Linked DNA regions of Stegostoma tigrinum. The protein of the gene in region 1 binds, or shares a complex with, the protein of each later gene. Links are inferred from orthologs where the notes say so. Each region holds a gene or a part of one and is shown in the gene's direction. Other genes may lie near its edges.

Region 1 (16,066 bases):
TAAGGCCAATGATTGGCTGGATGATCACTGCTCAGAGGATGATTGGCTGGAGGTTGATCACAAGCTCCAAGTTGACCAGCACACCCAGTGAGCAGCCCGGTGGTAGGAGGCGCCCAGAACAGCGCACCGAGACCTGGGCAGGATTACACCCACCGCCATGCTGGTACGACAGCAGATACTCCGACACGGCCATCCCTGTCACAATCTCTGAAGAATACAACAAGCAAGATCCCAAGCAGCCTCAGGGTGACACACCCATCGACATCACAGGTAGGAACAGACAAGCCCACATGTCCCCCCAGGAATATATCTGACCGAGGATTCAGGAAATATTGGCCTTTACAGATCGCGAGGCAGTAGTCCACAAAGTACACTTTGCATTTTGTCAGATTTGGTCTCAGAGAGATGTGTCTTGCTTCCGATTTTTAAAAATCTGCATCCCTGTTTTGAAATGTTTCTGTGCCCTCGTCCTCCCCCCATCTCTTTAATCTCCGTCTGCCTCACCACCTTGTTTTTAGTTCATTCACAAGATTGTGTGCATCAGAATTCACTGCCCGTCCCTAATTGCCCAGAGGGCAGCTAAGAGTCAGCCACATTGCTGAGGGTCTAGGGTCACATGTAGGCCAGACCAGGACATTGGACCAGCACAGTGGCTCAGTGGTTCGCACTGCAGCCTCACAGCGCTAGGGACCTGGGTTCGATTCCACCCTGGGGGGACTGTCTGTGTGGAGTTTGCACATTCTCCCCGTGTCTGCGTCGGCTTCCTCCGGCTTCATCCCACTGTCCAAAGATGTGCAGGCTAGGTAGATTACTTATGGGAGATACACTGTTACAGATGTGGGATGGTCTTCAAAGGGTCAGTGTACACTCAATGGGCCAAATGGCCTGCTTCCATTACATAGGGATTCTATGGTTCAGGTAAGGATGGCAGTTTCCTTCTCCGAAGGACATTAGTGAACCAGATGGATTTTCCAGACAATTGACGATGGATTCATGGTCATCATTAGACTCTTAATTCCAGAGTTTAGTTGAATTCAAATTCCACCATCTGACATGGTGGGATTCGAACCCACTTCCCCAGAAGCTGGGTCTCCAGTGACAATGCCACAAGGCCATTGGCTCCCCTGAGCCTTGGGAAGGGGGGGATGGTGGCAGGGCATGGTCTCTGGCCTCTTCATCATTCAGTACCTCTCAACCATCCGAGACAGTGGCCTCAGCTGCTAATCCCAAACTTTGGAATTCCCTCCCTGACCCTCTCCCGCTTTCATCCCTTCATTAAAGCATTCTTAGTTTGCTGGGGGCAGATTCAGTGAGGGCAGTCAGGAGGTCATTGCGTTGTTCATTTCCAGATAGCAACCTGTAGGGTGAAAGACCATAAGGTGTAGACGCACAATTGGGCCATTCAGCCCATCAAAAGCCTGCTTTGCCATTCATTGAGATCATGGCTGATCTGATAATCGTCACTCCACTTTCCTGCCTTTTCCCGGTAACCCTACATCGCCTTCCTGACTATCTCAGCAAAGATGCATGGGAGAGCGAGGAGCCTGAGGGTGGGGGCGAGCAGTTACGGTGAGCGATTTCGAGAGGAATTTGGATGGGTACTTGGGGGTGGGTGGGTGGAATACAGGGTCGTGGGGAGGAGGGGGTTTCTCTACAGAGAGTCAGCAGGGACTGGGTGAGATTCCTGGCCTCCGGTGCTCTGATGGCTCCCTAAGTCTTGTTCATTGTGTTCACAGCCCCGTGTACCGTACGCACCGCTGCTGATGCCAGCGTTTTGAGTGAAGGTGAAAGTGAAAAAGAAACGCTTTGAAATTGGGGTCCCTCAAAGGTAGGAGATGGGGTGTGACTCTGCAATGGGACCTTCGAGCTGTTCCCATACCCTGCAGTAAGCTGGAGCAAGTAACTAATACTGGGTCACAGTGGGTCAACAGCCTAATCCCGCTTTCTCCGTAGATCCCATTCACCCCCAAGTGCTGGATCTAGTTGCCTCTTGAGTACATTCAATGTGTGGCGTGAACCACTTCCTGTGGGAATGGTTCGGCTAGAATTTGGGGGTGTGGGGGGCGTTGGCGAAGAGGGTGGGAGGGAGGCTGCTGCTGCTGGTAGTGGCTGCAGGATGCTGGCTGGCAGACAAAAGATGTTGACTATCACATTATCAACACCTTTCCTCCACCAGCGCTCTACAACCAGCAGCACCGCACCCCCCCCCCCCCCATTCACCCGCCATTAATGCTGTCCCCTCCTCACTTCGCTGCAGCTCTGATGAAGAATCATTCAGGTAGATACGGTTAGTTGGTGCACTCCGTGGCTGCTGTCAGACCTGCAGTGATCTCCGGCATTTGCCGCTTTCGGCACACACCCCAGCCTCTGCAGTCATTTGCTCCCTCCATGCACAGGGCTGGAGGAAGGCAGGTGAGCCTACCGCAGCTGAAGAGCTCTGTGCGGTTCTGGTTTCAGGGAGTTGGACACATGCACCATCTGGTGGCGGGCAGAGGAAGCGGCAAGGAAATACAGTGCCGAGTGTGGTGTGCGACCCCGGCTCTCTCTAACCCTTGATGGAGCGCTGCTCTCTCCACACGAACCAATCATCAACCTTCTCCGTGACAACGAGGAGGTGACCGCAACCACGGGACGGGCAACGTCACCGCAGCCCCAGAGGACCATAGGGGCCCCTCAATCACGAGACAGTCAGCCAGGTGATGGTTTCACCAGAAAGTGAGGGGAGAGGTGGAGAAGCAGAGTCTTTCATGGTGACCTCAGCTGGTGTGGGAATTGAAACCACACTATTGGCATCGCAAAGCAGCCATACCGGCCAGCAGAGCTCCCCGACCCTACCCGGGCCAGCCGCTTTGCAATGCCAAACAGCATGGGTTCACAAATCCCCCACACTCGGCCACCACCTCCCACCCTGGATCTACACCTCAAGGTCCATCACCTCCTGGGCCATGTGCCAACAGCTGGAACGTGGCATTGAGCTGAAGCCCTGTTACCCAGGTCCCGATGAGGATAGATGCAGAAGGTCTCCCTGCCATTGCAGCACGTTTCTGAATACTCCAAATACCCCCAGACGAGGACTGTGCACGGATGTGGGGTGGAATATGAATATGAACTGCACCCGAGGGGAGGCCTAGCACCAGCACAATGGATCGAATGGCCTCTGAACTGTAACGATTGGATAGTGAACCTGCAGTATTGCAGGTTCAGATTGAATTCAGAAGGGCAGGTTTTGGTCGCCTTATGCACTGGGACCATGTGTTCTGTGTTCTAAGGGTCACCGATTGCTCCAGGAGAAATGCTGCTTCCGTCAGAAGGGAATACACTCAAGAGGCACTCTGATGTTTTTCAGGTCCTGGCTGAGGTCACGTCCTGGGACCTGCCTCCACTCTCCGAACGGTATAAGAGGGCCTGTGACAGTCTGGCAGGAGGTAAGGACAACGGAAATAACATTTTATTCACAGGTCTGAGAAATCTCTGTGCACCATCCACAAGATGTACTGCAGCAAGGATCCTTCGGTAGCACTTTCCAAACCTGCCACAAACCTACCCCTTAGATCTACCTCCCCCAAATGTACCGACAGTTCATAGATTGATTTAGGTCCATGTCTAAAGGGGAGATGCTGTTGTAGTGTTGAGAGATAGTAGGAACTGCCTATGCTGGAGAATCTGAGATAACAAGGTGTGGAGTTGGATGAACACAGCAGGCCAAGCAGCATCAGAGGAGCAGGAAGGCTGACGTTTCAGGCCTAGACCCTTCTTCAGAAATGGCTGATGGTTTATTTTTATTATTCATGTAATATGGGCATCACAGGCTGGGCCCAGCATTTATTGCCCCCCGTCCCTAGTTGCCCCTTGAGAAGATGTTGATGAGCTGCCTCCTTGAAACATTGCAGTCCATGTGCCATAGCTAGACCTACAAAGCCCTAAGGGAGGGAATTCTAGGATTTTGACCCTGTGACACTGAAAAAACAGCGATATATTTCCAAGTCAGGATGGTGAGTGTATTGGAGGAGAATTTGGAGGGGATGGTGTTCCCATATTTCTGCTGCCCTTGTCCTTCTGGATGGAAGTGGTTCTGGGTTTGGAAGGTGCTGCCTGAGGATCTTTGAATTTCTGCTGTGCATCTTGTGGCTCGTACACACTGCTGCTACTGACCGTTGGTGGTGGAGGGAGTGGATGCTTGTGGATGTGGTGCCAATCAAGCAGCTGCTTTCTCCTGGATGGTGTCAAGCTTCTTGAGTGTTTTTGGGGCTGCACCCATCCACGCAAGTGGGGAGTATCCCATCACACTCCTGCCTTGTGCCTTGTAGATGGTGGGACAGGCTTTGGGGATCAGGAGGTGAGTTACTCGCTGCTGGATTCCCAGCTTCTGGCCTGCTGTTGTAACCACTGTTTATGTGGTGAGTCCAGTTTAGTTTCTGCTCAATGTTAATACCCAGGATATTGATAGTGGGGGATTCAGTGATGGTAACACCATTGAATGTCAAGGGGTGGTTATTGGATTGTCTCTTATTAGTGATGGTCATTGCCTGGTATTTGTGTGGCACGAATGTTACTTGTCCCTTATCAGCCCCAAGCCTGGATATTATCCAGATCATATTACATTTGATCATGGACTGCTTCAGTATCTGAGGAGCCACGAATGGTGCTGAACATTGTGTAATCGTCCCCAATTCTGACCTTATGATGGAGGGAAGGTTATTGATGAAGCAGCTGAAGATGGTTGGACCCAGGCCACTACCCTGAGGAACTCCTGAAGAGATGTCCTGGAGCTGAGATGATTGATCTCCAATAACCACAGCCATCTTCCTCTGTGTCAGGTCTGACTCCAACCACAAGACGGTTTGCCCCTGATACCCATTGATTCCAGTTTTGCTGGGGCTCCTTAATGCCACTCGGTCGAATGCAGCCTTGATATCAAGGGCTGTCACTCTCACCTCACCCTCTGGAATTCAGCTCTTTTGTCCATGTTTGAACGGAGGCTGTAATGAGGTCAGGAGCTGAGTGGCCCTGGCGGAACCCAAACTGGGCGTCACTGAGCAGGTTATTGCTGAGCAGGAGCTGCTTGATAGCACTGTTACTGACACCTTCCATCATGTTACTGATGGTCGAGAGGAGACTGATGGGATGGTAATTGGCCGGGATGGATTTGTCCTGCTTTTTATGTACAGGACATATCTGGGCAATTTTCCATATTGTCAGGTAGATATCAGTGTTGTAACTGTGCTGGAACAGCTTGGAATTCCCTGCCATAGGGCAGTGTGGCTATCCCTACAGCAGCTGGTCTATTGTGGTTCAAGAAGGCAGCTCACCACCACCTTCTCAAGGGCAGTCAGGGATGGGCAACAAATGCTGGGCCCAGTTTGTGACACCCACATCTCATGAATGTATTTAAAAGATAAACAATTCTTGTAGGGGAGCGTCTGGAGCACAAGCCTTCAGTACTATTGCAGAATGTTATCAGGGCCCATAGCCTTTGCAGTATCCAGTATCTCCAACTGTTTCTTGATATCACGTGGAGTGAATCGAATTGGCTGAAGACTAGTATCTGTGATGCTGGGGACCACAGGAGGAGGGAGAGATGGATCATCCACTTGGCAGTTCTGGCTGAAGATTGCTGCGAATGCTTCAGCCTTATCTTTTGCCCTGATGCGCTGGGCTCTTCCATCGTTGAGGATCAGGATATTTGTGGAGCCTCCTCCTCCAGTGAGTTGTTAATTGTCCACCACCTTTCACAGCTGGATGTGGCAGGACTGCGGAGCTTAGATCTGATACGTTGGTTGTGGGATCGCTTAGCTCTGTCTGTCGCTCGCTGCTTACATTGTCTGGTGTGTAAGTAATCCTGTTTGGTGGCTTCACCAGGCTGGTAGCTCATCTTCAGGTATCCCTGGTGCTGCTCCTGGCCTGCCCTCCTGCACTCTCCATTGAACCAGTCTGATCCTCTGCCTGGATGGTAATGGTTGAGTGGGGGATATGCCGGGCCATGAGCTTACAGATCGTGCTGGAGTACAATTCTGCTGCTGTTGATGACCCACAGCGCCTCATGGATGCCCAGTCTTGAGTTGCTAGATCTGTGTGAAGTCTGTCCCATTGAGCACGGGGATAGTGTTACACAACACGATGGAGGTTATTCTCAATGTGAAGGTAGGACTTAATCTCCACAAGGACTGTGCCATGGTCACTCTGACCGATACTGTCATTGACGGAGAAATGAGAGGCATAGAGGGAGTAGATACCCATAGACTTTTTCCCAGGGCAGAAATGACTATCACGAGAGGCATAATTTTAAGGTGATTGGAGGAAGGTATAGGGGAGATGTCAGAGGTAGGTTCTCTACACAAAGTGGCGGGCATGTGCGATGCACTGCCGACAGCGGTAGTGGAGTCAGATACTTTAGGGACTTTTAAGTGACTCTTGGATAGGCGAATGGAGGATAGTAAACTGTAGGGTATGCAGGATAGTTTGATGTTAGAGTAGGATAATAGGTTGGCACAGCATCGTGGACCGAAGGGCCTGAGCTGTGCTGTACTGTTTTATGTTCAATGTTCTATTTAGATGCATCTGCAGCTGGCAGATTGGTGGGGATTATGTCGGGTATGTGTTTCCCTCTTGTTGGTTCCCTCACCACCTGCAGCAGACCCAGTCGAGCAGCGATGTCCTTTAGGACCCAATAATGTTTAACCTGAAGCCATGAGACTTCATGGGATCTGGAGTCATGTTGAGGACTCCCTAACTCCCTCCCGACTGTATCCCACTGTGCCCCCCCCCCCCCCCACCTCCGCTGGGCCTGTCCTGCTGGTGATACAGGATATATCCAGGGATGGTGATGGTGGTGTCTGGGACACTGTCTATAAGGTATGATCTGGTGAGTATGACTGTGTCAGGCTGTTGCTTGACGAGTCTGTGAGACAGCTCTCCCCATTTTGGCACTAAACCCCAGCTGTTAGTGAGGAGGACTCTGCAGTGCTTTTTCAGTGATGCCCGGTCGCCTGTCTGTTTCATTCCTTTTTGAGGTTTCTTAGGGTCTCAGTTCACTTGAGAATCTCACTTGGCCATTTCAGAGGGCAGTTAGGAGTCAACCACATTGCTGTGGGTCTGGAGTCACATGTAGGCCAGACCAGGTAAGGATGGCAGTTTCCTTCCCCAAAGGACATTAGTGAATCAGATGGGATTTTATAACTCGTGCCACTGCTTTCATGGTCATCGTCATTATGTGTTCAATTCCAGAATTTGACTGAATTTAAATTCCACCATCTACCATGGCAGGATTTGAACCTGTTCGAACATTACCTGGGTCTCTGGTCTAGCGATGGTACCACTCGGCCATCATTATCCAGGGATCCAGGCTTCCCATTTGGGAAATTTCCACCAGCTTTGAACCAATCAATGAGGGGCATGGACAGGGTAAATAGTCAAGATCTTTTCCCTGGGGCGGGGGAGTCCAAAACTAGAGGGGCATAGGATTAAGGTGAGAGGGAAAGATTTAAAAGGGACCTGAGGAGCTGCCAGAGGAAGTGGTGGAGGCTGATACAGTTACAGCGTTTAAAAGGCATCTGGATGGGTATGTGGGTAGGGAGGGTTTAGAGGGATACGGGCCACATGCTGGCACATGGGACTAGATCACTTTTGGATACCTGGTTGGTATGGACAGGTAGGACCAAAGGATCTGTTTCTGTGCTGCATGGCTGACTCCAAACCTGGAAGTGAAAGCAGGTCTCAGTGATGGCGAACCAGGGAGTTATCATCAATTATAAAAACCCATCTGGGTCAATAATGCCCTTCAGGGAGGGAAACTGCCATCCTCGCCTGGTCTGGCCTACACGTGACTCCAGACCCACAGCGATGTGCTTGATTCCTATCTGTCCTTTGAACTGGGTGAGTGAGACACTCTGCTCTGGGGCAGTTAGGGATAAACAGTTGCAACAGGGATGTGCCACAGTTGGATTTTCTCCGAAGACAGGGTATTATCAGTTGCTGTAATAACCTTGTTGTGTCTCTCTCTGCTTGCAGCTGTGCACCCATCCATGTTCAAGATTCTCCAGCTACAGGAGAAAGATTCCTGTGTGGATTTATCCAGCCTGTCGCTGACCAAGGAGCACCTGACCCCCATCCTGCGGGCCCTCAAACTGCAGACCACCACCCGCCAGCTCCGCCTCTCCACCAATCGTCTTGGTGACGACGCCATGGAGGAGCTGGTGACCATGCCCAACCTGGCCGTACGGGACCTCTCCTCCAATCAGATCACACACCAAGGCCTGAGGACTCTCGGTGAGACCAGCAGACCAAACGAGGATCCGGCTTTTCAGGTTTGAGATCTTGCCAGTCTACGTGGGGATAGGAGGAGGCCATTCAGCCCCTTCAGTGGTTCGCACCATTCAGTCAGATCACAGCTGATCTGTATCCCGACTCCACTCACATGGCATTACTTTGTTTTCCTCAATTATCTTTAGTGATAGGAATTTATCCGTCTCAGTCTGACAGCTTCAGCTGCCCCCAGTCGAGCTTGAGGACGGTTCCAGATCCCCACTCCCCTCTGTGTGATGGAGAGCTTCCCGACGTTACCCCCCTGTACAGCCTGACACACCCAACGGAACCCGCCTACCCCCTGCCTTCCAGGACGTTGTTTCTATCAGTTGCTGAGGGAAATGTGCAGAGGGTTGAGGGAATTCAGTGCATGCGGGGACACTGATGAGATCTTATTGAGGTGTTCAAACTTAGTAAGTGTTTTGATGAGGCGTTAGCAAGGAGAGTGGGAGCAACTGGACAACATCTTTTTAGGAGCGAACGCAGGGCTATGGGTCAGATGGCCTCTTGGAGCAATCGGGTTATGCCTGGCTCTACTAAAGCACCGAGATGGAGACCAGGCAACAGTGCACGCTGCTCAATGCTCTGATCACTGGGATAGAGCAACCCAATTCACCACTATATCCAGCAAAGTGTGGAGCTGGATGGACACAGCAGGTCAAGCGGCATCTCCGGAGCACAAAAGCTGACGTTTCGGGCCTAGACCCATCATCAGAGGAAGGGTGAATCTGATCATCTGATAAGGGTCTAGGCCCAAAACATCAGCTTTTGTGCTCCTGAGATGCCGCTTGGCCTGCTGTGTTCATCCAGCTCCACACTTTGTTATCTCAGATTCTCCAGCATCTGCAGTTCCTATTATCACTGTATCCAGCAACATAGGTTCAGCTCTATCTCAAACTACTCTCCAGTTTGATTCAGTTCTTGGGATATGAGCATGGACAGCCAGTCACAGCAACAGAATTAAGCCACTCAGCCCATGTGTGCTGCACCATTTAATCACAATCTGACATTTTTTTTAAACCCCATTCTCCTGCCTTCTCCCTGTAGCCCTCCAACCCCTCACTCACCAGGACCCTACCCACCTCTGTCTGAAATACACTCAATGGCCTGGCCCCTGCAGCCCTCTGTGTCAGTGAGTTCCACACCCTCTGGCTGAAGAGATTCCTCTTCGTCTCAGTCCTCTCCCCTTGAGGCCGGGCCCTCAGATCCTGGTCTCTCCTGCCACAAGAGAACAATCCGGAAGGTCTGCTAGGACGATGTAGGAACAAATTGCTGCAGGTGCCAGGATGTGTGCTGAAAACGGCAAATGCTGGAGATCACAGCGGGTCAGACAGCAACCACAGAGAGAAATGCCTGACCTGCTGTGATCGCCAGCATTTATTTTTTTGTTTTCAGTCTGGCAGAAGTGACTTTCCCAAGATTTTTAACCTGAGTGGTACAATTAACACAGAGCACAGTGGTGGGTGCCAGGGGAGACATAGCACTGTCTTAATTTACACTCAAAATAATTCACAGCCTGAATTTTGTTTTGTGTTTCAGAGTCTGGAGGAGTTGAACCTCAGCCTCAATCCTTTGGGTGATGGCTGCTCTCAGTCTGTAGCCTCTCTCATCAGATCCTGCCCTCTACTGAGCACACTCAAACTCCAGGCCTGTGGGCTCACAGCCAAGTTCCTGCAGAACTTCGCTCTGACCTGCACAGTGAAAGGTACAAGACAGATAGAACTCAGATCGTGACAACACCTTGACTCCCCCTCAGCTTTGCGCAAGGAGTTTCCATGCACAGTTACAGCAGTTTGGAATGCTGTACCTGGGTCGGTGGTTGAGATGGGAAACACAACCTTTTAAAATGTACTTGGATGGACATTTGAAATATCACAACTTTCAATGCTGTGAGCCCAGCGCTGTGAAGTGTCACTGGTGTAGATCGGTCAGCACAGAGTTGCTGGGTCGAAGGGCCTGTTCTGTGCTGTGTGACTCTATTAGATAGAGTCTCCAGCTGGAACGGCTGATATCCCAGTCCCAGGGATTTGCACAGAGGACAAGGACGGAGTTAGAGGCAGACCATCCTGGGAAAGTGCACACTCACTTGGAAACAGAGAAACTAGGAGCAGGAGGAGGCCATTCAGCCCTTCAATACTGCACCACCATTCAATACGATCCTCTATCTAAATCCCATATTCCCAATATCTCCCCATTCCCCTTCATACCCTTAAAACCTAGAAACATATCGATCTTTTTCTTGAATGCGATCAGTGACCTGGCCTCCACAGCCCTCATGGTAAAATATTCCACACCTTTCCTAACCTTTGGGTGAAAAATATTTTTTCATCTCAGTCCCTAAGCATCTGGTCTGCCCGATCCTGTTAGAATTTTATACATTTCTCATCCTTCTCAACAGGCCCATTCAAACCACTTTCTCCTCTTACGACAGATCTGCTAATTCTCTCTATCAGTCTTGTGAACATAGAACAGCACAGCACGGGCCCTTCGGCCCACAATGTTGTGCTGAACTTTTACCCTAATCCTAAGGTCTATCAAACCTCCACCCCTACCTTATACTATCATCCATATGCCTATCTAATAGCCACTTAAATGCCCCTAATGAGGCCAACTCCACTACCCTCTCTGGCAATCCACGCCCCGACCACTCTCTGTAAAGATCCTACCCCTGACACCTCCCCTATATCTACCTCCACTCACTTTAAAACTAGGTCCCCTCATAATAGCTACCTTCACCCGAGGAAAAAGTCTCTGGCTGTCCACTCTATCTATACCTCTGAACATTTTGTACACTTGTCAAGTCAACTCTCATCCTTCGTCATTCTAAAGAGAAAAGCCCGAGCTCTCTCAACCTTTCCTCGTAAGATCTTCCCTCCATTCCAGGCAACATTCCGGTAAATCTCCTCTGCACCTTTTCCAATGCTTCCACATCTTTCCTGTAATGACGCAACCAGAACTGGACACAATACGCCAGATGTGGCTGAACCAGGCTTTTGTACAGCTGCAGCATAACTTCATGGCTCTTGAACTCAATCCCTCTACTAATGAAAGCTAACATACCATACGCCTTCTTAACCATGCTATCCACCTGGGTGGCAGCTTTCAGGGAACTGTGAACATGAGCCCCAAGATCCTTCTGCTCCTCCACAGTGCTATGAATCTTTCCGTTATCCCTGTATTCTGCTTTCAAGTTTGTCCTTCCAAAATGAATCACCTCACACTTTTCAGGGTTAAACTCCATCTGCCACTCCAGAACATTACAGAAATTGCCTCGTGGCAACTATGTTTTTTCCAAAGAATGATGTGCAAGCGCGGGTGTTGGACTGGGGTGGAAAAGGTCAGAAATCACACAACAACAGGTTTATTGAAATCACAAGCTTTCAGAGCATAGCCCCTTCATTAGGCGACCAACATCATTGAAGACCCATCGCACCCCGGTAATGCTCTCCTGCAGCCTCTTCCATCAGGCAGAAGACACAGAAGCCTGAACGCGCACATGCACAGGTTCAGGAACAGCGTCTTGCCAGCTGTACTCAGACTGAGGAATGGACCCTCCAGACTCAAATAATGCTGATCTTGCTAACGTTGATCTGAGCTTGCCCTGTGCAATGTAACCTGTGTACCTCAGTCTTTTTGATCTGTACTTCTTGCTATGATCTGCCTGTACCACCCGCAAACAAAGCTTTTTCACTGCATTTTGATACACGTGACAATAAATCAAGGTGACCGGATGAAGGGGCAGAGCTGGGAAAGCTTGTGATTTCAAACGAAGTGCCAGACTGTAGCCTGGTGTTGTGTGACATCTGATCTTGTCTTAGGCCCGGAGACCTCACCAAGGTCTCCCCAGGGCCCTGTGTATATCTACTGTAAGATATCCCTATTTCTGAGCTCAAGTCCTCTTGCAACAAAGGCTAATTTACCTAATTCCCTGCAGCATCTGCCCATCTACTTTCACTGGCTGTAAACAAGGACCCCCAGATCCCACTGCACATACACACCTCCCTAAATGTCATCATTTAAATGATACACTCACTTCCTGTCTGTTTTTCACACTTAAGTGTATAACTTCACATTTCGTGATATGGAGGTGCTGATGTTCGACTGGGGGTGAACAAGGCCCTCAGCACTGATCCCTCCAACAGTGCAGCACTTCCTCAGCGCTGACACTCCGACAGTGCCCGCTCCCTCAGCCCTGACCCTCCGACAGTACCCGCTCCCTCAGCACTCACCCTCCCACAGTGCCCACTCCCTCAGCACTGACCCTCCGACAGTGCGGCGCTCCCTCAGCACTGACCCTCCGACAGTGCGGCGCTCCCTCAGCACTGACCCTCCAACAGTGCAGCACTCCCTCAGCGCTGACCCTCGGACAGTGCAGCACTCCCTCAGCGCTGACCCTCGGACAGTGCAGCACTCCCTCAGCGCTGACCCTCGGACAGTGCGGCACTCCCTCAGCGCTGACCCTCTGACAGTGCCCACTCCCTCAGCACTGACCCTCCGACAGTGCCCACTCCCTCAGCACTGACACTCTGACAGTGCCTGTTCCCTCAGCACTGACCCTCCGACAGTGCCCACTCCCTCAGCACTGACCCTCCGACAGCGCCCACTCCCCCAGCACTGACCCTCCGACAGCGACCACTCCCCCAGCACTGACCCTCCAACAGTACCCGCTCCCTCAGCACTCACCCTCCCACAGTGCCCACTCCCTCAGTACTGACCCTCCAACAGTGCGGCCCTCCCTCAGCACTGACCCTCCGACAGTGCGACACTCCCTCAGCACTGACCCTCCGACAGTGCGGCGCTCCCTCAGCACTGACCCTCAGACAGTGCGGCGCTCCCTCAGCGCTGACCCTCTGACAGTGCCCGCTCCCTCAGCACTGATCCCTCCAACAGTGCAGCACTCCCTCAGCGCTGACCCTCCGACAGTGCGGCGCTCCCTCAGCACTGACCCTCGGACAATGCGGCACTCCCTCAGCACTGACCCTCCGACAGGGCGGCGCTCCCTCAGCGCTGACCCTCTGACAGTGCCCACTCCCTCAGCACTGACCCTCCGACAGTGCGGCGCTCCCTCAGCACTGACCCTCAGACAGTGCGGCGCTCCCTCAGCGCTGACCCTCTGACAGTGCCCACTCCCTCAGCACTGATCCCTCCAACAGTGCAGCACTCCCTCAGCGCTGACCCTCGGACAGTGCGGCGCTCCCTCAGCACTGACCCTCGGACAGTGCGGCACTCCCTCAGCACTGACCCTCCGACAGGGCGGCGCTCCCTCAGCGCTGACCCTCTGACAGTGCCCACTCCCTCAGCACTGACCCTCCGACAGTGCCCACTCCCTCAGCACTGACCCTCCGACAGCGCCCACTCCCCCAGCACTGACCCTCCGACAGCGACCACTCCCCCAGCACTGACCCTCCGACAGTGCCCACTCCCTCAGCACTGACCCTCCAACAGTACCCGCTCCCTCAGCACTCACCCTCCCACAGTGCCCACTCCCTCAGTACTGACCCTCCAACAGTGCGGCCCTCCCTCAGCACTGACCCTCCGACAGTGCGACACTCCCTCAGCACTGACCCTCCGACAGTGCGGCGCTCCCTCAGCACTGACCCTCAGACAGTGCGGCGCTCCCTCAGCGCTGACCCTCCGACAGTGCCCACTCCCTCTGCACTGACCCTCCGACAGTGCCCACTCCCTCTGCACTGACCCTCCGACAGTGCCCACTCCCTTAGCACTGACCCTCTGACAGTGCAGCACTCCTCCAGCACTGACCCTCCAACAGTGCCCACTCCCTCTGCACTGACCCTCCGACAGTGCCCACTCCCTTAGCACTGACCCTCCGACAGTGCGGCGCTCCCTCAGCACTGACCCTCTGACAGTGCAGCACTCCTCCAGCACTGACCCTCCAACAGTGCCCACTCCCTCAGCACTGGCCCTCCAACAGTACCCGCTCCCTCAGCACTCACCCTCCCACAGTGCCCACTCCCTCAGTACTGACCCTCCAACAGTGCGGCCCTCCCTCAGCACTGACCCTCCGACAGTGCAGCGCTCCGTCAGCACTGACCCTCCGACAGTGCGGCGCTCCCTCAGCACTGACCCTCCGACAGTGCGGTCCTCCCTCAGCACTGACCCTCCGACAGTGCGGTGCTCCCTCAGCACTGCCCCTCTGACAGTGCGGCGTTCGCTCAGCACTGACCCTCCACCAGTGCAGCACTCCTCCAGCACTGACCCTCCGACAGTGCCCACTCCCTCAGCACTGACCGTCCGACAGTGCTCGCTCCCTCAGCACTGACCCTCCGACAGTGCAGCACTCCTCCAGCACTGACCCTCCGACAGTGCCCACTCCCTCAGCACTGACCCTCCGACAGTGCCCGCTCCCTCAGCACTGACCTTCCGACAGTGCCTGCTCCCTCAGCACTAACCCTCTGACAGTGCGGCGTTCGGTCAGCGCTGACCCTGTATTGGTGTTGCGAGATAAATTGTGATTTTAATTTCAAAAGTACATCATCGCTAATGAATTGGAATCATTCTGACTGGAATGTTTTAGCTGTGTTTCAATCTGTTAATGGATGAGTTATTTGATAGTTATTATTATGGGTTGGTGATCAGCTCTAAGCCTCCCTGAGCTGATCTGTGACAGTGCAATGACCTCGTCCATCTGATGATGCACTGCCCAGTCCCTAACCCTATCTTCTTTACTCGCTCAGGGACCAGGCACCTGAAAACTCTGAACCTCTCCAACAACCAGCTGGGATTAAAAGGGGTCCAGTTTCTGCTGAAGAATCTTCCTCATGACATCCTAACACATCTCGAGATCTCCTCAGTATCCTGTAACCAGGACAGGCAATTCCTGGAGCTGGTTGCGAGGTACTTCACCCAGGTAAGGGATCACACTAGGTGCTATCAGGGCCGGACACTCTGTCCCACAGTCACTCGAAGCTCTGGCTGAGGTACTTTCCTGTTCGTTTTTTTCAAAGAGACTGTCTTACTTGAGCCAGTGTGGTGGGAAATGTCAGTGAGGAGCTGGCTGTCACACACTGTTCTCACATTACGCAGTGTGACAGCTCCAGCTGTTTTATGTATGTGGTAACACAAACGCACGGTTTTATAACCACAGAGAGCTGTCTCCAAACTGCCCTCTCAACTGGCCTAGCAAGTAACTCGCTGTATACAGATCAGTAAGAGATGCTGACCCAACGTTTAGCCTGGGTCCCTGGAATACAATGTTAACACTCTACCATCAGAAATCTGGATGTGAGTTTGCTCACTGAGCTGGAAGGTTAGTTTTCAGACGTTTCGTCACCATTCTAGGTAACATCATCAGTGAGCCTCCGACGAAGCGCTGGTGTTATGTCCTGCTTTCTATTTATCTGGTTAGGGTTCCTTGGGTTGGGGATGTCTACCACTATCACTCGTATCCTTACATACAGACGAGGAAGGACACCACTTTGATTGGGACAACACACCCATCCTAGGACAAGCCAAACAGAGACACGCATGAGAATTCCTAGAAGCATGGCATTCCAACCGGAACTCCATCAACAAACACATTGATTTGGAGCCAATTTACCATCCACTGAGAAAAAGGACAGGAAATGACATCACCAAGCCAAGGAAACCTAAACTGATAAATAGAAAGCGGGACATAACACCAGCGCTTCGTCGGAGGCTCACTGATGATGTTACCTAGAATGGTGACGAAACGTCTGAAAACGAACCTTCTAGCTCAGCGAGCAAACTCACATCCAGAACCTCAATCTGAGCTACAAATCTTCTC
Region 2 (16,173 bases), on another chromosome or scaffold:
TCGAAGCGGCAACACCCTTTCTGACCTTGCTGAGGAGCCAGGCATACTTCATTCCCACCTCGTTTGAGAGTTTGCAACTCTCAGATGGTCCACATGCTTGTTCAGGACTGTTGCACCTATCTGAACTTTATACATCACTGGACCTGACCGCATGACAACCAAGCCTCTTAACCGTGCAGGGTTTCACACAACAAACTTTGTCTCCTGTAGTAAACTGTCTCTCTCACTTACCAGAGTCTGGCATTGGTGTTCCTGATGCTGTTTCAGCCTCACCCAAGGTCCGTGAAGATCAGATTTAATCAGGTGCAGAGTCTTCTTTCCACTAGCAACCCTGTTGGAGCTATTGATGTAATTTCATGATGGATTGTCCTATCATCAAACAGGGACAGTCTGATATGGAATGATGCTGTCGGCTATTTCTTTAAGCTTCAGAGTTTGGACTGCTCTTTCTGCCAGACCATTGGATGATGGATGATATGGAGCTGTCTTTACATGTTGAGGGCCATTCAACTTTATAAAATAAATAAATTCTGTGCTAGATGGACTGTTATCTGAGACCAAAGCTTCTGGGAGTCCATGTATTGCAAAAGATGCACACAATTTTCTTACCGTTGTTCCTGTGCTGGACAAGTGGACGCTATGCAGGTCCGGCCATTTTGGTGGACATCCAAAATGACAAAGAACATTGAGCCCATGAAAAGACCTGCATAGTCGATGTGTAACCGAGTCCAGGGTTTACCCAGCCATTCCCACGAATCTGTGGAAGTTGCTGGTGGTAATTTTTGTCCTTGTTGGCGCTCTGGGCACTGCTCTACCAATGCAGCTATATATGCATCCACTCCTGGCCACCAGGCATAACTACTCACCAACATCTTCATTTGGAAACCCCTGGATGAACCTGATACATTTCAGCCAACACCTGGCAGTGACCTTTACTTGGGGAAGTCATTCTTGCTCCCCATAATAACATGCCATCCTCCACTGTGATCTCGTCTGTGCAAGTCCAAAAAGGTTTTGGTTCTGGTTGTGACAGCCCATTGATAACCCCCATCACCATCAGCTGTTTCAGTTTTGCCAGGACCACATCTTTCTGCGCCCAAAGTCTGATATTGTCAGCTGTGACTGAAAGTGCACCCAGACAATTCAAAACCACTGTGTGCTCTTCCAGTGGTGGTACAACTGGTGGTGTATCTGCCAGCGGGAGGTGGCTCAATGCATACACATTTGCTACTTGATCTCCTGGACAGTGTTCCAATTTGTAGTTATACGCACTTAATTTTTGAGCTCTGCTGAATTCGGCCTGAAGCAATGGGCAACACTGCCTTGTTCTCTTTAAGTGGTCCTGGCAGAGGTTTGTGGTCCATTGTTATTACAAACTGACATCCATAAAGGTATTGGTGGAACTTCCTTACTCCAAATGGGACCGCCAAACCTTCCTTCTCTATTTGGGCATATTTACTCTCTGCATTAACCAAAGTCCTGGATACATATACTAATGCACATTCCTCTCCATTGGGCCACCAATGAGCTAATGCTACTCTGGTGCCATAACAGAAGGCATTGCATGTCAATACCAGATCTCTTGGGATCATAGTATGCCAATGCCTTAGTGGATGATAACTGTTTCTTCACTTCCCTGAAAATTATGGCTTGTCTATGTGACCAATTTGAAAGTTGACCTGTTTTTGAAAATTGATACAGAGTTTCCAGGATGGAGGCCAGGTTATGTATGAACTTTCTGTAATAATACACCAGCCGAAGGAAAGACTTAAGCTCCAGTCCAGATGGGGGAGCGAAGATACATTTGATCGCCCTCACTTTATCTCCCAATGGGTGTAACCCAGTCTTGTTGAATCTGCAGCCAAAGTAGGTCACTTGGGGTTCCTGGAACATACATATTTACCTTCCAAGGCAGAGACAAGCCTGGGAGAAATGTTAAAAGACTGTGTTCAAGTTCTCTAAGTGCTCCTTATTGGTCTTCTCTAGATCATCTAGATAAATGGCAACCTGGGGATGACTTTGTAAAATGTTTTCCATCATCTGCTGAAAAATTATACAGCTGACGATACCCCAAATAGCAGTCTTGCATTACAACCACCACAATCACTGGTAACTGAACCAGCTGCTTCTCAGAAAAGACTAGAACTGAAGTTGTAACCTTAATCTGTAAAGGCTCCCCACTGTAGATTTTCAGTCTGGCTGATGTCTTGCACAAATGTAAGGGTGGAAGTCCAGACCGAATGTTGTTAAAGTCTGGTTTTGCGATCACCGAAACAGCAGCCACCGGTATCAACCTCCATTAGAACCGGGTGACCATTTATCCAGATTGGTTAAATACTTTGATTGGTTCTGATTTGGATGTCGCTAAGCAATTTAACTGCTCCAAACCAGATGTAGGTGGACTTTTCAGGGTGTGCATTTCCCCAGATACCGGCCTAGGAATTCTCTTACTCAATTTATGTCTAGTGGGACTCATTTGCCGTCTCGAGTCTGCATAGCGGCAGCAAATATAAGGCTTGTTGGCCAGGACCCTGAAGAAAATTTTAACTGTTTGGCCAAGCTTGCCATTGTTTTGGGATTTTGCTGTGGGTTAACCGAGAGTCCCTCTGTTCAGGATATATCGTGAGTTAGGCAATGCAATTGCCTTCACTCAGGTGGTGTTCCCCAAGCTCAGTTGGCCTGTCGAGTGTATCAACTTCTTTTGGAATACCCTGCAACCTATATGCTTCACTTGTCACATTTTTCAATGATAAATCCAGTTGTAGTACCTGTTTGAAGCCCAATTGGGCTTCAGCTAGTAGGTGCTTTTGCATGGTTACATCATTAATCCCACATACCAAATGGTCTCTCATCATCTCATTAAGGATTAAACAAAAGTCACATACCTCTGTGAATCATCTTAACTGAGTCAAAAATCCCAATTCAGATTCCCCTGGTTCTCAAATTGCTGAGGAAAACCAATGGCGTCTCAAAATTAGAGGTGGTTTGGGGATCATAATATTCCTTAGCTCAAGGCATCAGTTTTGAAGGGTTTTGGTATCTGGTGCCTCAGGGAAAGTTAGACTCTTAATAATTGAAAACACTGTGAGTCCACAAGCTGTCAACAGAATTACCTGCTGCCTTTCATCTGCCCCATTTTAATTTGCCTGGGAAAAAAAAATTCCACATTCTGGACCTAGTCCTCGATGGCAGGAACAAGTGAGTCAAGCCTTCAAAATATTAACATGATGCCAGAAATGCTTTCCCACACTCAAAGGTGACGATTGCACATGGATTTCTTCAGAGTTGTGCTTTACTCTCATCATCACTGAAATAACTCCAGAGAGGCCAGTATCCTGTCACCGAGTCACCCTTTATTTACACATGCAAAGGCCTTGACACTGATCCAGCTCCCGCAGAGCCAGTTCTTAGAGTGACAAGATGTCTGACACTACTGTTTCTATCTGTCAGCCAGGGCTCCTTGATTGGACCAGATTAATTGTCCCAATCAGGGGACTCATATTCTATGGGTCCAACTGGCTGACTTTGTTCTAATCACTGCTTGTCCAACCAGTGATGTCCATAACCTATGAATGGATAAATAAAAACACAAAACCTGGAACCATTGTAAACTGTCAATTACAAATCTAAAATTTAAGAAAATGAAAGGTAGAAATACTAAGATGGTCAAGCGGCACCTCTGGACAGAAAATTGGGTTTAACATTTCAGGTCTTGACTTTAATCAGAGCCTTCTGCCATATCAGAAACCCAGCAATGGATACAATACTCCAACTGGAGCTGAACAAGTGGTTTGAAAAGGCTATCATGATTCACAACCTCGGCCATTGTATACTGTAAGAAGGACAGTGTAAAACTACAAAAGGACAGCCTGGTGGAGTGATTAGACAGGTGGCAGACAAATTTGAATGTGGAGAAGTGGCCATATTGGTGGAAAAAACATGAAGAGGCATTGTAAACTTAAAGTTACTCCCCTAACATGTATGCAGGAACAGAAAGGTCTGAGTGTATGTGTTAGTCAAAGTGACAGCACAGGGAATTAATAAAGCATTCAATATCCTAGCCTTTATAAATAGAGTCATAGAGTACAAGAATAAGGAGGTTACACTGAACTTGTAAATGACACTAGTTAGAACTTGGCTCGAGTATTGTGTACTGTTGTGTACATCACACAACAGGAAGAATGTAAACACATTGGTCAGAATATCAAAGAGGTTTAAAAAACATGGTTCCAGGGCTCAGCAAAGATAGATAAATGAACTTCTGGCTGAGTTGCTTGGAGAGGAGAAGGCTAACAGGAGACTTGATGGCGATGTTCTAAATCATGAGGCTGCTGGGCAGAGTAGGTTAGGAGAAACTGTTCTCACTCAATAAAGGATTGAGAATGAGCTGTGTGATATAAAGTAATCTGCAAAAGATACAAATGTAATATGGGGAAAAAAGTCTTTTTCACATAGGGAGTACTTTGGGTCTGTAATGCATTGCCTGGAATTGTGATGGAGGCAGGTTCATTTAAGGCATTTAAGAGGGCATTGGATTAATAATTAAACAAAAACAATATTCAAGGTTACAGGGAAAATGGGACTAAGCCAAGATGCTAACTCAGGTGGCAGATACAGACACATGAATAGCCTCCTTCTAACCTGTACCAGATCCATGATTCTGAGTTGTTTTCTAGCTTAGTGGAGAATGAATAAAATTTTGAATGTTCCAAAATTTATTTTGTCTACATTACCACTGTCACATTACTTTAAGAAACAGAACGTTAAGTATGTTTTTTTGTCCAATCAATCTTGAGTTTCTTTAGCTATGAAATTGATGTTCTCTGAATCTCACACTTGATAATAACTGAAATTGTTACCTATTTGTCTGTTTTCTGGATTCATACCCCTAGGCAGATAAATGCATTCAGCCACCTCAAATGAATCCTGTTCATTGGGCTAAGTAATTTTGAGGAAAAGCTTCAGCAGTCAACAAAGTGCATGAGTACAGTGCATCCTGAGTAAGTATGGAAAACTTTAATCTGCTCAGCAATTCAGTTTGTGTACTGTACTTTGACTTGAGTATTTTTTATTTGGTGCAATAAAAAAGTATTAAAATTATTATGTTAAAGTTTGTGTTCTTTTCTCATATGCTTTTGTATAATGCGTTACAACCAATTGTAAGGAAAATGTCCATATTTTTGTATTCCCTTTCATCGCCTTTCAGGAGTTTGATTAAAAGTAGTGAAAGGCCTACAAGAAGGTGAAAATAATGAACAACTCAAATTTATCGAAAATAGTTTTGTTTTTAGCTTTGGAATGAGTAAATTACTAAGCAAACTTGTTGACCATCAGAGAAGCTGGACCAAATTTTATTGAAATTTTCATAGCTATGCCATGTGATCTAGTATATGTCTATGACCGTTATTCCATGAATAGGATTTATCGGGTAAGTGGAAACTGAGCATTCACCCTAATTTGTTCACTTTACCTTGTTTGATTCACCGACTGAAAACAACCTTGAAGATAAAACAGGCATTTGTGAGTTGGTCAGATTTAAATACTGGGAGCACAGAACTCTTAAAAAGAAAAAATGTATTTCCAAGCACAGCATGTAATACAGTTGTTGTCATGCTGTTGATTAAATTCTGTAAGATGATATTCCCTCATTTACAGGAAGGGTAAATAACAAGTCTGATTTTCTTGCCATGCAAAATTGATTAAGAACAGCAGGAGAACAAATTTACTTGGAATCACATTAACTGTGGACAATCTAGTTGGAACCTTAGGACGATGCATATTCACAAGATACATATAATTTATTTAGTAAAGCAGCATTAAACTGCATAGCAAGATACCCAAAGACCCTGTGATTTTAGTTGAAATAACCACAGGCCGATAATGCTTTTTGATACACCACAAGCTGGCTGAAAGTCTCAGTGGACTATCCAGGAAGATGCAATTTCATTAGTTACACCATATACTGTGTTTGAAATATGTGTTCCAGCAGTTTAGCATCCAAGTACTGTGTTATGGAAAACTAATTACTGAATCACTAAGAGCTCCATAATGTCCTGCATTAAGTATCACACATCATACATAATGCATGTAAGGCAGCCTCTGCACTCTGATTACAGAACACTGTCATTAAGTGAGCAAATTAAAGATGTGAATAATTCACCGAGTGAGCTTACTTGTCAGTGCTGTGTTGTAAAATTAGAAATTCTAATGGGTGCTGCAATTTTTCTTTCTCGGTTGATACAAAGAGCAATGTTGGGATGCATTGGAAAATTAAAGATAATTGTCTTATTTCTTTGCCTGTCCACTCAGTTTCTGTATTTTGTATGTAGGTCGTTTTATTTCAATACACTTACCCATGATTTTGAGATAATTTTTACTTTTGTCGGTAATGATTATCAAAATAATTCTGCTTTGCATAATAAAATTAATCAATTCATGATATTATAAATTATATTGCACAGTAAAGGAACAAAGATAATCTTATATGATATGTAAATACAGCCACTCAATGACAATAAATTAAATGCTATTATTCCCAATAATGTTTTCTTTTCAACAATACAAACATTTGGTTAGTCAGTAAAGAAATTACACGGTTGTTTTCTCTAAGGTAGTTGTTAGCAAAAACCGTCACCCTTTGCCTTGGCATTTCATAAATGTACTGCAAAACAAAAATCAGTCATTGAAAATCTAAATAAGGCCTTAAAATATATTAGGTCATACAGTACCTCTTACCTCAGTTCCACATAATGCTGAGATTTATTTCTGCGGATCTTCTCTAAAGCCCAGAGACAGGGACAGAGTCCACTTGACCGCACATAACAGCATATCCACCAAATGCTCCCAGCTGTCAGATGAATTATTATCAATACAAACAAAAATATATTCCCCTCTAGAGAACTCTCTTTCCCTCAGTCTCAAATATTTGTGCCATTTCCTTCGGCGACAAGAACGAAGAAAACACGGAATGCTGTTGCCCATTGCGAATCTGAAAAAGTCCCGGCTGATTTCCTCAAATTACTGGCTGACAGGACATCTTGAGAGAAGAAGAAAAAAAATTGTAGACATTAGAGAGAATGAATCCTTTTCTGTAGAATCAGGGAAGCTGCATCAGATTTCTCTCCGTGTTTGTCTTTTTTTAATAAGGAGGGGAATGCAGACAATAAGAGAGAGGGAGAGAGGGCTGTCAGTGCCGATAAATCTGCATATGGAAATATGGGTTATCCTGGGTGCAATTTTATTTAACTGTGATGTACTGTTTTTTAATTAGACAAGAACACACACAGAAAGAACCCCAGCGAGGTGCAGTGATGGGCAGCTCCTCACGCGGAGTTACACAAACTACAGACACTTTATTTAAATGCAATACATTCATTTTGTTCTCCAAGTTAAAGCGATTAAAAAATTATGGAAATTATTCAGTTAACACCGTCTTCATATTCAGCATGACTGCACTGCATTATTCAGCATCATTGTCACAGTGAACAGAAGTGATTGAGTTATGCACAGTAAAAGTTTAGCAGTCTGGTTTCAGAAATTGACAGAAATATTGAATTAAAGCAATCAATGATAGGCTTGATTATACATAATAAATTATTTAGAGGCCAAATGCGTTTTAGTATTTATTTTAAACGTGATTATTCCATTAGGAAATGTGTGTGATATCACCCAACCAATAGTTTAAAGTCATAAAAGTAACAGGGGTCTGGACTTTTGTTTATATGGGTTGATCAGTTACAGATCCAGCAAGATCTCGGATTATATTCCAGCTGATTGCTGCTGAATGATGTGTTTCGCGAATCGATGCACTCATAATTTGGGGTTATCATGTACATTGCCTTACACCATCTAAACAAACGCGTTTTACACAATTTTTCAAAAATGATAATTAGATCGCATTTCATGGATCAAACGCGACTGAAGTCAATTCACGTCCTTGATCCTCTGGGTTTCTCCGCTTAGAGATCTGTTACAAAAGGACAACATACAATGTTGGAAGAACCTTAACGAAAAATTCCCGTCCGTGCACGAACATGAAACAATGTAAACACAGAACATGATGCATATCTGAATCCCTGGGACCCTTTGTGGTGATTGCTGGGACAGAGATAGGAGATTTTCGCCTGCATTCCAGCCCGGTCATTTCAGACGCTCCCTCAGCTGGGGGCGCGCTTCTGACGATTCATACAAATCTCGACCAATCACAAGGCCGCTGCACAAAGGCCCTGACCAATCACTAACGGAGAGGTGTGCATGCGCGCAAAAACGTCACTCGAAACGCGGGAAGCCGGAAAAGAAACAGGCGGAAAAAAGAATCTGGCGACACAGGTATAGGTCCTACAGACTGGAGCTGAGACCTGTGCAGGGACAGATCATACAGACTGGGGTTGAGACCTGTACAGGGACAGATCATACAGATTGGGGTTGAGACCTGAATAGGGACAGATCATACAGACTGGGGATGAGACCTGTACAGGGTGAGATCACACAGATTGAGGCTGGGACCTGTGCAGGGACACATTATACAGACTGAGGCTGAGACCTGTGCAGGGACAGATCATACAGACTGGTGCTGAGACCTGGACGGGGACAGATCATACAAACTGGGGCTGAGACCTGTGCAGGGACAGATCATACAGACTGGGGCTGAGACCTGTGCAAGGACAGATCATACAGAGTGAGGCTGAGACCTGTGCAGGGACAGATCATGCAGACTAGGGCTGAGACTTGTGTAGAGACAGATCATACAGACTGATGCTGAGACCTGTACAGGGACAGATCACACAGACTGGGGCTGAGACCTGTGCAGGGACAGATCATACAGACTGGGGCTGAGACCTGTGCAGGGACAGATCATACAGAGTGAGGCTGAGACCTGTGCAGGGACAGATCATACAGACTGGGGCTGTGACCTGTGCAGGGACAGATCATACTGACTGAGGCTGAGACCTGTGCAAGGACAGATCATACAGACTGGGACTGAGACCTGTAGAGGGACAGATCACACAGACTGGGGCTGAGACCTGTAGAGGGACAGATCACACAGACTGGGGCTGAGACCTGTAGAGGGACAGATCACACAGACTGGGGCTGAGACCTGTAGAGGGACAGATCACACAGACTGGGGCTGAGCCCTGTACAGGGACAGATCACACAGACTGAGGCTGGGACCTGTGCAAGGACAGATCATACAGACTGGGGCTGAGACCTGTGCAAGGACAGATCATACAGAGTGAGGCTGAGACCTGTGCAGGGACAGATCAGACAGACTGGGGCTGAGTCCTTTACAGGGACAGATCATACAGACTGGGGCTGAGACCTGTACAGGGTGAGATCACACACATTGAGGCTGTGACCTGTGCAGGGACAGATTATACAGACTGAGGCTGAGACCTGTGCAGGTACAGATCATACAGACTGATGCTGAGACCTGTTCAGGGACAGATCACACAGACTGGTGCTGAGACCTGTACAGGGACAGATCATACAGACTGGGGTTGAGAACTGTGCAGGGACAGATCACACAGACTGGGGCTGAGACCTGTGCAGGGACAGATCATACAGACTGGGGCTGAGACCTGTAGAGGGACAGATCACACAGACTGGGGCTGAGACCTGTAGAGGGACAGATCACACAGACTGGGGCTGAGACCTGTAGAGGGACAGATCACACAGACTGGGGCTGAGACCTGTAGAGGGACAGATCACACAGACTGAGGCTGAGACCTGTTCAGGGACAGATCGTACAGATTGGGGCTGAGACCTGTGCAAGGACAGATCATGCAGAGTGAGGCTGAGACCTGTGCAGGACAGATCATACAGACAAGGGCTGAGACCTGTGCAGAGACAGATGATACAGACTGGGGCTGAGACCTGTGCAGAGATAGATCATACAGACTGGGGCTGAGACCTGTACAGGGACAGATCACACAGACTGGGGCTGAGACCTGTAAAGGGACAGATCACATAGACTGGGGCTGAGACCTGTAAAGGGACAGATCACACAGACTGGGGCTGAGACCTGTGCAGGGACAGATGATACAGACTGGGGCTGAGACGTGTGCAGGGACAGATCATACCGACTGAGGCTGAGACCTGTATAGGGGCAGATCATACAGATTAGAGCTAAGACCTGTACAGGGACAGATCATACAGAATGAGGCTGAGACCTGTGCAGGGATTATCATACAAACTGGGGCTGAGACCTGTACAGGGACAGATGATACAGACTGGGACTGAGCCCTGTGCAGGGACAGATCGTACAAGCTGGGGCTGACACCTGTGCAGGGACAATTCATACAGACTGGGGCTGAGTCCTGTGCAGGGACAGATCACACAGACGAGGGCTGAGACCTGTAGAGGGACAGATCACACAGTCTGGGGCTGAGACCTGTAGAGGGACAGATCACACAGACTGGGGCTGAGACCTGTGCAGGGACAGATCGTACAGACTGAGGCTGGGACCTGTGCAAGGACAGATCATACAGAGTGAGGCTGAGACCTGTGCAGGGACAGATCACACAGACTGGGGCTGAGACCTGTAGAGGGACAGATCACACAGACTGAGGCTGAGACCTGTAGAGGCACAGACGATACAGACTGAGGCTGAGACCTGTTCAGGGACAGATCGTACAGATTGGGGCTGAGACCTGTGCAAGGACAGATCATGCAGAGTGAGGCTGAGACCTGTGCAGGACAGATCATACAGACAAGGGCTGAGACCTGTGCAGAGACAGATGATACAGACTGAGGCTGAGACCTGTGCAGGGACAGAGCATACAGACTGGGGCTGAGACCTGTGCAGAGATAGATCATACAGACTGGGGCTGAGACCTGTACAGGGACAGATCACACAGACTGGGGCTGAGACCTGTAAAGGGACAGATCACATAGACTGGGGCTGAGACCTGTGCAGGGACAGATGATACAGACTGGGGCTGAGACCTGTGCAGGGACAGATCATACCGACTGAGGCTGAGACCTGTATAGGGGCAGATCATACAGATTAGAGCTAAGACCTGTACAGGGACAGATCATACAGAATGAGGCTGAGACCTGTGCAGGGATTATCATACAAACTGGGGCTGAGACCTGTACAGGGACAGATGATACAGACTGGGACTGAGCCCTGTGCAGGGACAGATCGTACAAACTGGGGCTGACACCTGTGCAGGGACAATTCATACAGACTGGGGCTGAGCCCTGTGCAGGGACAGATCACACAGACGAGGGCTGAGACCTGTAGAGGGACAGATCACACAGACTGGGACTGAGACCTGTAGAGGGACAGATGATGCAGAATGAGGCTGAGACCTGTTCAGGGACAGATCATACAGATTGGGGCTGAGACCTGTGCAAGGACAGAGGATACAGAGTGAGGCTGAGACCTGTGCAGGACAGATCATACAGGCTAGGGCTGAGACCTGTGCAGAGACGGATGATGATACAGACTGGGGCTGACACCTGTGCAGAGATAGATCATACAGACTGGGGCTGAGACCTGTACAGGGACAGATCATACAGACTGGGGCTGAGACCTGTACAGGGACAGATCATACAGACTGGGGCTGTGACCTGTGCAGGGACAGATCATACCGACTGAGGCTGAGACCTGTATAGGGGCAGATCATACAGATTAGAGCTAAGACCTGTGCAGGGACAGATCATACAGAATGAGGCTGAGACCTGTGCAGGGATTATCATACAAACTGGGGCTGAGACCTGTACAGGGACAGATGATACAGACTGGGACTGAGCCCTGTGCAGGGACAGATCGTACAAACTGGGGCTGACACCTGTGCAGGGACAATTCATACAGACTGGGGCTGAGCCCTGTGCAGGGACAGATCACACAGACGAGGGCTGAGACCTGTACCGGGATAGATCACACAGTCTGGGGCTGAGACCTGTAGAGGGACAGATCACACAGACTGGGGCTGAGACCTGTGCAGGGACAGATCGTACAGACTGAGGCTGGGACCTGTGCAAGGACAGATCATACAGACTGGGGCTGAGACCTGTGCAAGGACAGATCATACAGAGTGAGACTGAGACCTGTGCAGGGACAGATCATGCAGACTAGGGCTGAGACTTGTGTAGAGACAGATCATACAGACTGATGCTGAGACCTGTACAGGGACAGATCACACAGACTGGGGCTGAGACCTGTGCAGGGACAGATCAGACAGACTGGGGCTGAGTCCTTTGCAGGGACAGATCATACAGACTGGGGCTGAGACCTGTACAGGGTGAGATCACACACATTGAGGCTGGGACCTGTGCAGGGACAGATTATACAGACTGAGGCTGAGACCTGTGCAGGGACAGATCATACGGACTGGGGCAGAGCCCTGTGCAGGGACAGATCATACAGACTGGGGCTGACCCCTGTACAGGAACAGATCATACAGACTGGGGCTGAGCCCTGTGCAGGGACAGGTCACACAGACTGGGGCTGAGACTTGTTCAGGGACAGATCACACAGACTGGGGCTGAGACCTTTGCAGGGACAGATGATACAGACTGGGGCTGAGACCTGTGCAGGGACAGATCGTACAGACTGGGACTGAGACCTGTGCAGGGACAGATCATACAAACTGGGGCTGAGACTTGTGCAGGGACAGAACATCCAGACTGGGGCTGAGACCTGTATAGGGACAGATCATACACACTGGTGCTAAGACCTGTGGCAGGGACAGATCGTAGAGAGTGAGTCTGAGACCTGTGCAGAGACAGATCATACAAACTGGGGATGAGACCTGTACACTGACAGATGATACAGACTGGGACTGAGACCTGTGCAGGGACAGATCGTACAAACTGAGGCTGACACCTGTGCAGGGACAGAACATACAGACTTGGGCTGAGCCCTGTGCAGGGACAGATCATGCAGACTGGGGCTGAAACCTCTACAGGGAGACATCATAGACCCTGGGTTTGTGACCTGTACAGAGACAGATCGTACAGATTGGGGCTGCGACTTGTAGACAGCAGCAGGATCATTTATACCATGGCTGAACCTTGTGGGCAGGAGCAACCCATATGGACTTGTGCTGGTTTTAGCAGGCTGATGGTGAGACTTTTACGCAGGCATAAGTCTTATACAGGATATTGTAGACTGATGCTAAGCCTTATGGTTGGAAGCAGGTCAGATAGACTGAGCCTGCTTCTTATACACCGTGCCATTCATCAAACATCCATCTGTTCTAATCCACGGCCTGTAGCCTTGTATGCTGTGGCAGTTCAAATGCTCATTCAAACTGTTCTTCACTGTTTTGCCGATTCCTGCCTCTCCCACCCTTTCAGACAGCACATTCCACATGCCTACAATCTTTTGGGTGAAAAGTATTGTCCTCAAATCAGCTCTAAACCTCCCGCTCTTTACTTAAAACTACGCTCCCTAGTTACTGACCTCATTTTTATTGGAGAAAAGTTCGGTTCCATCTGCCCTCCCTGTGTGCCTTCGAACTTTGTTCACCTCAAACAGGCGCCCCCCTTAGCCTTCTCTGCCCTCAGGAAAATTGCACCAGCCTGTCCGGTATTACACCCTAGCAGTTGATTCTGAGACTGGAGTCCTGAATCTAAAGAAAGAGAACTACAATTGTAATAGGTGTGAACTAACTATGATAAATTGGGGAATGTTATTTAAAGAGCTGATTTATGTTAATTGATTTTATTGTCACGTGTACTGAAATACAGTGAAAAGCATGGTTTACAAGCGGTACAGGCAGGTCACAGCAAGCAAAAGATGTACAGATCACAAATACGTGGAGGCATACCGGTTACGTTATTTGAGGTAGAGTCCATCCAACAGTCTGATAACGGCTGAAAAGAAGTTATTCCTGAGCCTGCTCGTGCGTGTGTTCTGCTTGATGGAAGAGGTTGTAGGAGCTCATTACTAGGATGCAGTGGGACTTTGATGATGTTGGCTTCCTTTCCGCAGCAGTGGGCTGTGTAGATAGAGTCCATGGATAGAAGGTTGGCTCCCATGATGGTTTGGGCTGTGCACACCACCTTCTGTAGTTTCTTAACAGTCCTAGGCAGAGCAGTTGCCATATGAGGCTGTTATGTATGTGGACAGCATGCTTTCAGTGGCTCATTTGTAGAAGTTGGTGAGGGTCCTTATGGAAATGCCATATTTCCTGAGCTACCTGACGAAGAAGAGGCATTGTTGTCCCTTCTTGACTGTTGTATTTACGTGGTAGATAAGCAATGGCAATCATTTAAAGAACTCATGGAGGAACTGCAAAGACTTACTCCTGTTTGGCACAAAAACACAATGAGAAACGTGACCTGACCAAGGCTATGAAAGAAAATTACGGATAATGTTAGATCCAAGGACGAGGTGTGTAAATTGTCGAATAAAGAAGTAGCAGACCTGAGGATTAGGAGCAATTTAGATTTCAGCAAAAAAGGACAAAGGTTTTGGTTAAGAGGGAGAAAATAGAGTGTTATGGTAAGCTAGCAGAAAATGTATTAACTGATTGTACAAAAGCTTCTATTAGTATGTGAAAAGAAAAAGATTAGTGAAGACAAGTGTTCGTCCCTTACAATCATAAACAGGGGAAAATATAATAGGGAGCAGAGATGGCAAACCAATTAAATATATATTTGTTCTGACTTCATAAAGGAGAATACAAATAATGCCCCAGAAATGCTGGGGAGCATAGGGTCTAGTGAGGAGGAACTGAACGAATTCGGTGTTCGTGGAGAAATAGAGTTTGGAAAGTCATCAGATTAAAGACAGATAAATCCCCAGTGACAGATCATTTGCAACCTCAAGTGCTTAAGGAAGTGGCACCAGAAATAGTGGATCCATTCCTGGTCATCTTTCAAGATTCTATAGACCCTGGGACAGTTCCTACAGTTTGGAGGATTGCTACCTCACTGTTTAAGAAAAGAGGTGAAAAGAAAACAGTGAATTATGGGACTTCTTAGCCTGACATCAGTAGTTGGGAAAATGTTCAAGTTCATTTAATATCAGTCTTGGAAAACAGTGACACAGTCAGCATGGATTCATGAAAGGGAAATCTATTGGTATTTATTTGAGGATGTAACTCGTAGAGTTGATAAGGGGAACGAGTGGATGAGGTTTACATGAATTTTCAGAAGGCTTTTGGTAAGGACTCTCGTAAGAGAACAGCATGTAAAATTAGAGTACTCAGGATTTGGGGTAATGCACTGATATGGATAGAGAGTTGATTGGCAAATAGGGAACAAAGAATAGGAATAAACAGGTCTTTTTCTGAGTTGCAGGCAGTGATGAGTGGAGTGGTGCAGGGCTCAGTGCTTGGTCCCCACTTTTCAATAATAAATGTTAATGATGTAGATGAGAGAACTAAACATAAGTTTGCAGATGACGCAGTGCTGGGTGAGAGGATGAGCTATGAAGAAGATGCACGACTTCTTCAGTATGATTTGGAGAAGTTCAGTGAATGGGCAAACGCATGGCAGATGAAAGATAAAGTGGATAAATGTGAGGTTATCTACTTCGGTTGTGAAAACAGGAATTATCTGAATGGTGATAGATTCATAAATGAGATAAAATGGGTACGGGGTGTCTTTGTGCCCCAGTCGCTGAAGTTAGTATGCAGGTTCAGCAAATAGCGAAGAATACAAATGGTTTGTTGGCATTTGTAGTGAGAGGATTTGAATAGAGCGGAAGGAATGTCTTGCTACAATTACACAAGTCTTTTTCTGAGTTGCAGACAGCGACTAGTGGAGTACTGCAAGTACAATTGCTTGGACCCCAGCTGTTCATAATACGTATTAATGATATAGATGAGTGAACTAAAAGTAGCTTTGTGGGTGTTACCACACCAGGAGCATTGTGTGGAGTTTTGATCTCAGTATTCTCTGAAGGTTGTTTTGGCTTTGAAAGGAATGCAAAATCTGATTAGCAGACTGATTCCTGGAATGGCAAGACTGACATATGAAGAGAGACTGTGTTGATTAGGAGAGTATGCACTGGAATTTAGAATAGTGAGAATAAAATTCTAACAGAAGTAGACAAAGGAATAATATTCCCAATGATGGGGAAACCAAGAATCATAATCCAAGGATATGGTTGGGCCATTTATGACTGAGGTGAGAAATTTCCTCACCCAGACAGTGGTGAGCCTGTGGAATTTTCTGCCACAGAGAGCATTTGAGGCCAAAACTTTAACGTTTAGA

Evidence for each region.
Region 2: tonsl (region 1) and mms22l share a complex: the UniProt entries of both Homo sapiens proteins name them as parts of the MMS22L-TONSL complex. The link is inferred for Stegostoma tigrinum from reciprocal best matches to the Homo sapiens genes TONSL and MMS22L.

The regions. Positions count from the first base shown.
Region 1 is NC_081355.1:160,277,418-160,293,483, reverse strand, and holds the start of tonsl (tonsoku-like protein), read left to right. Parts: upstream 1-9,839; 5' UTR 9,840-10,006; intron 10,007-14,996; 5' UTR 14,997-15,169; intron 15,170-16,066. UniProt on the Homo sapiens protein: Component of the MMS22L-TONSL complex, a complex that promotes homologous recombination-mediated repair of double-strand breaks (DSBs) at stalled or collapsed replication forks.
Region 2 is NC_081357.1:51,710,620-51,726,792, forward strand, and holds the start of mms22l (protein MMS22-like), read left to right. Parts: upstream 1-8,266; 5' UTR 8,267-8,328; intron 8,329-12,968; exon of another isoform or gene 12,969-13,072; intron 13,073-16,173. UniProt on the Homo sapiens protein: Component of the MMS22L-TONSL complex, a complex that promotes homologous recombination-mediated repair of double-strand breaks (DSBs) at stalled or collapsed replication forks.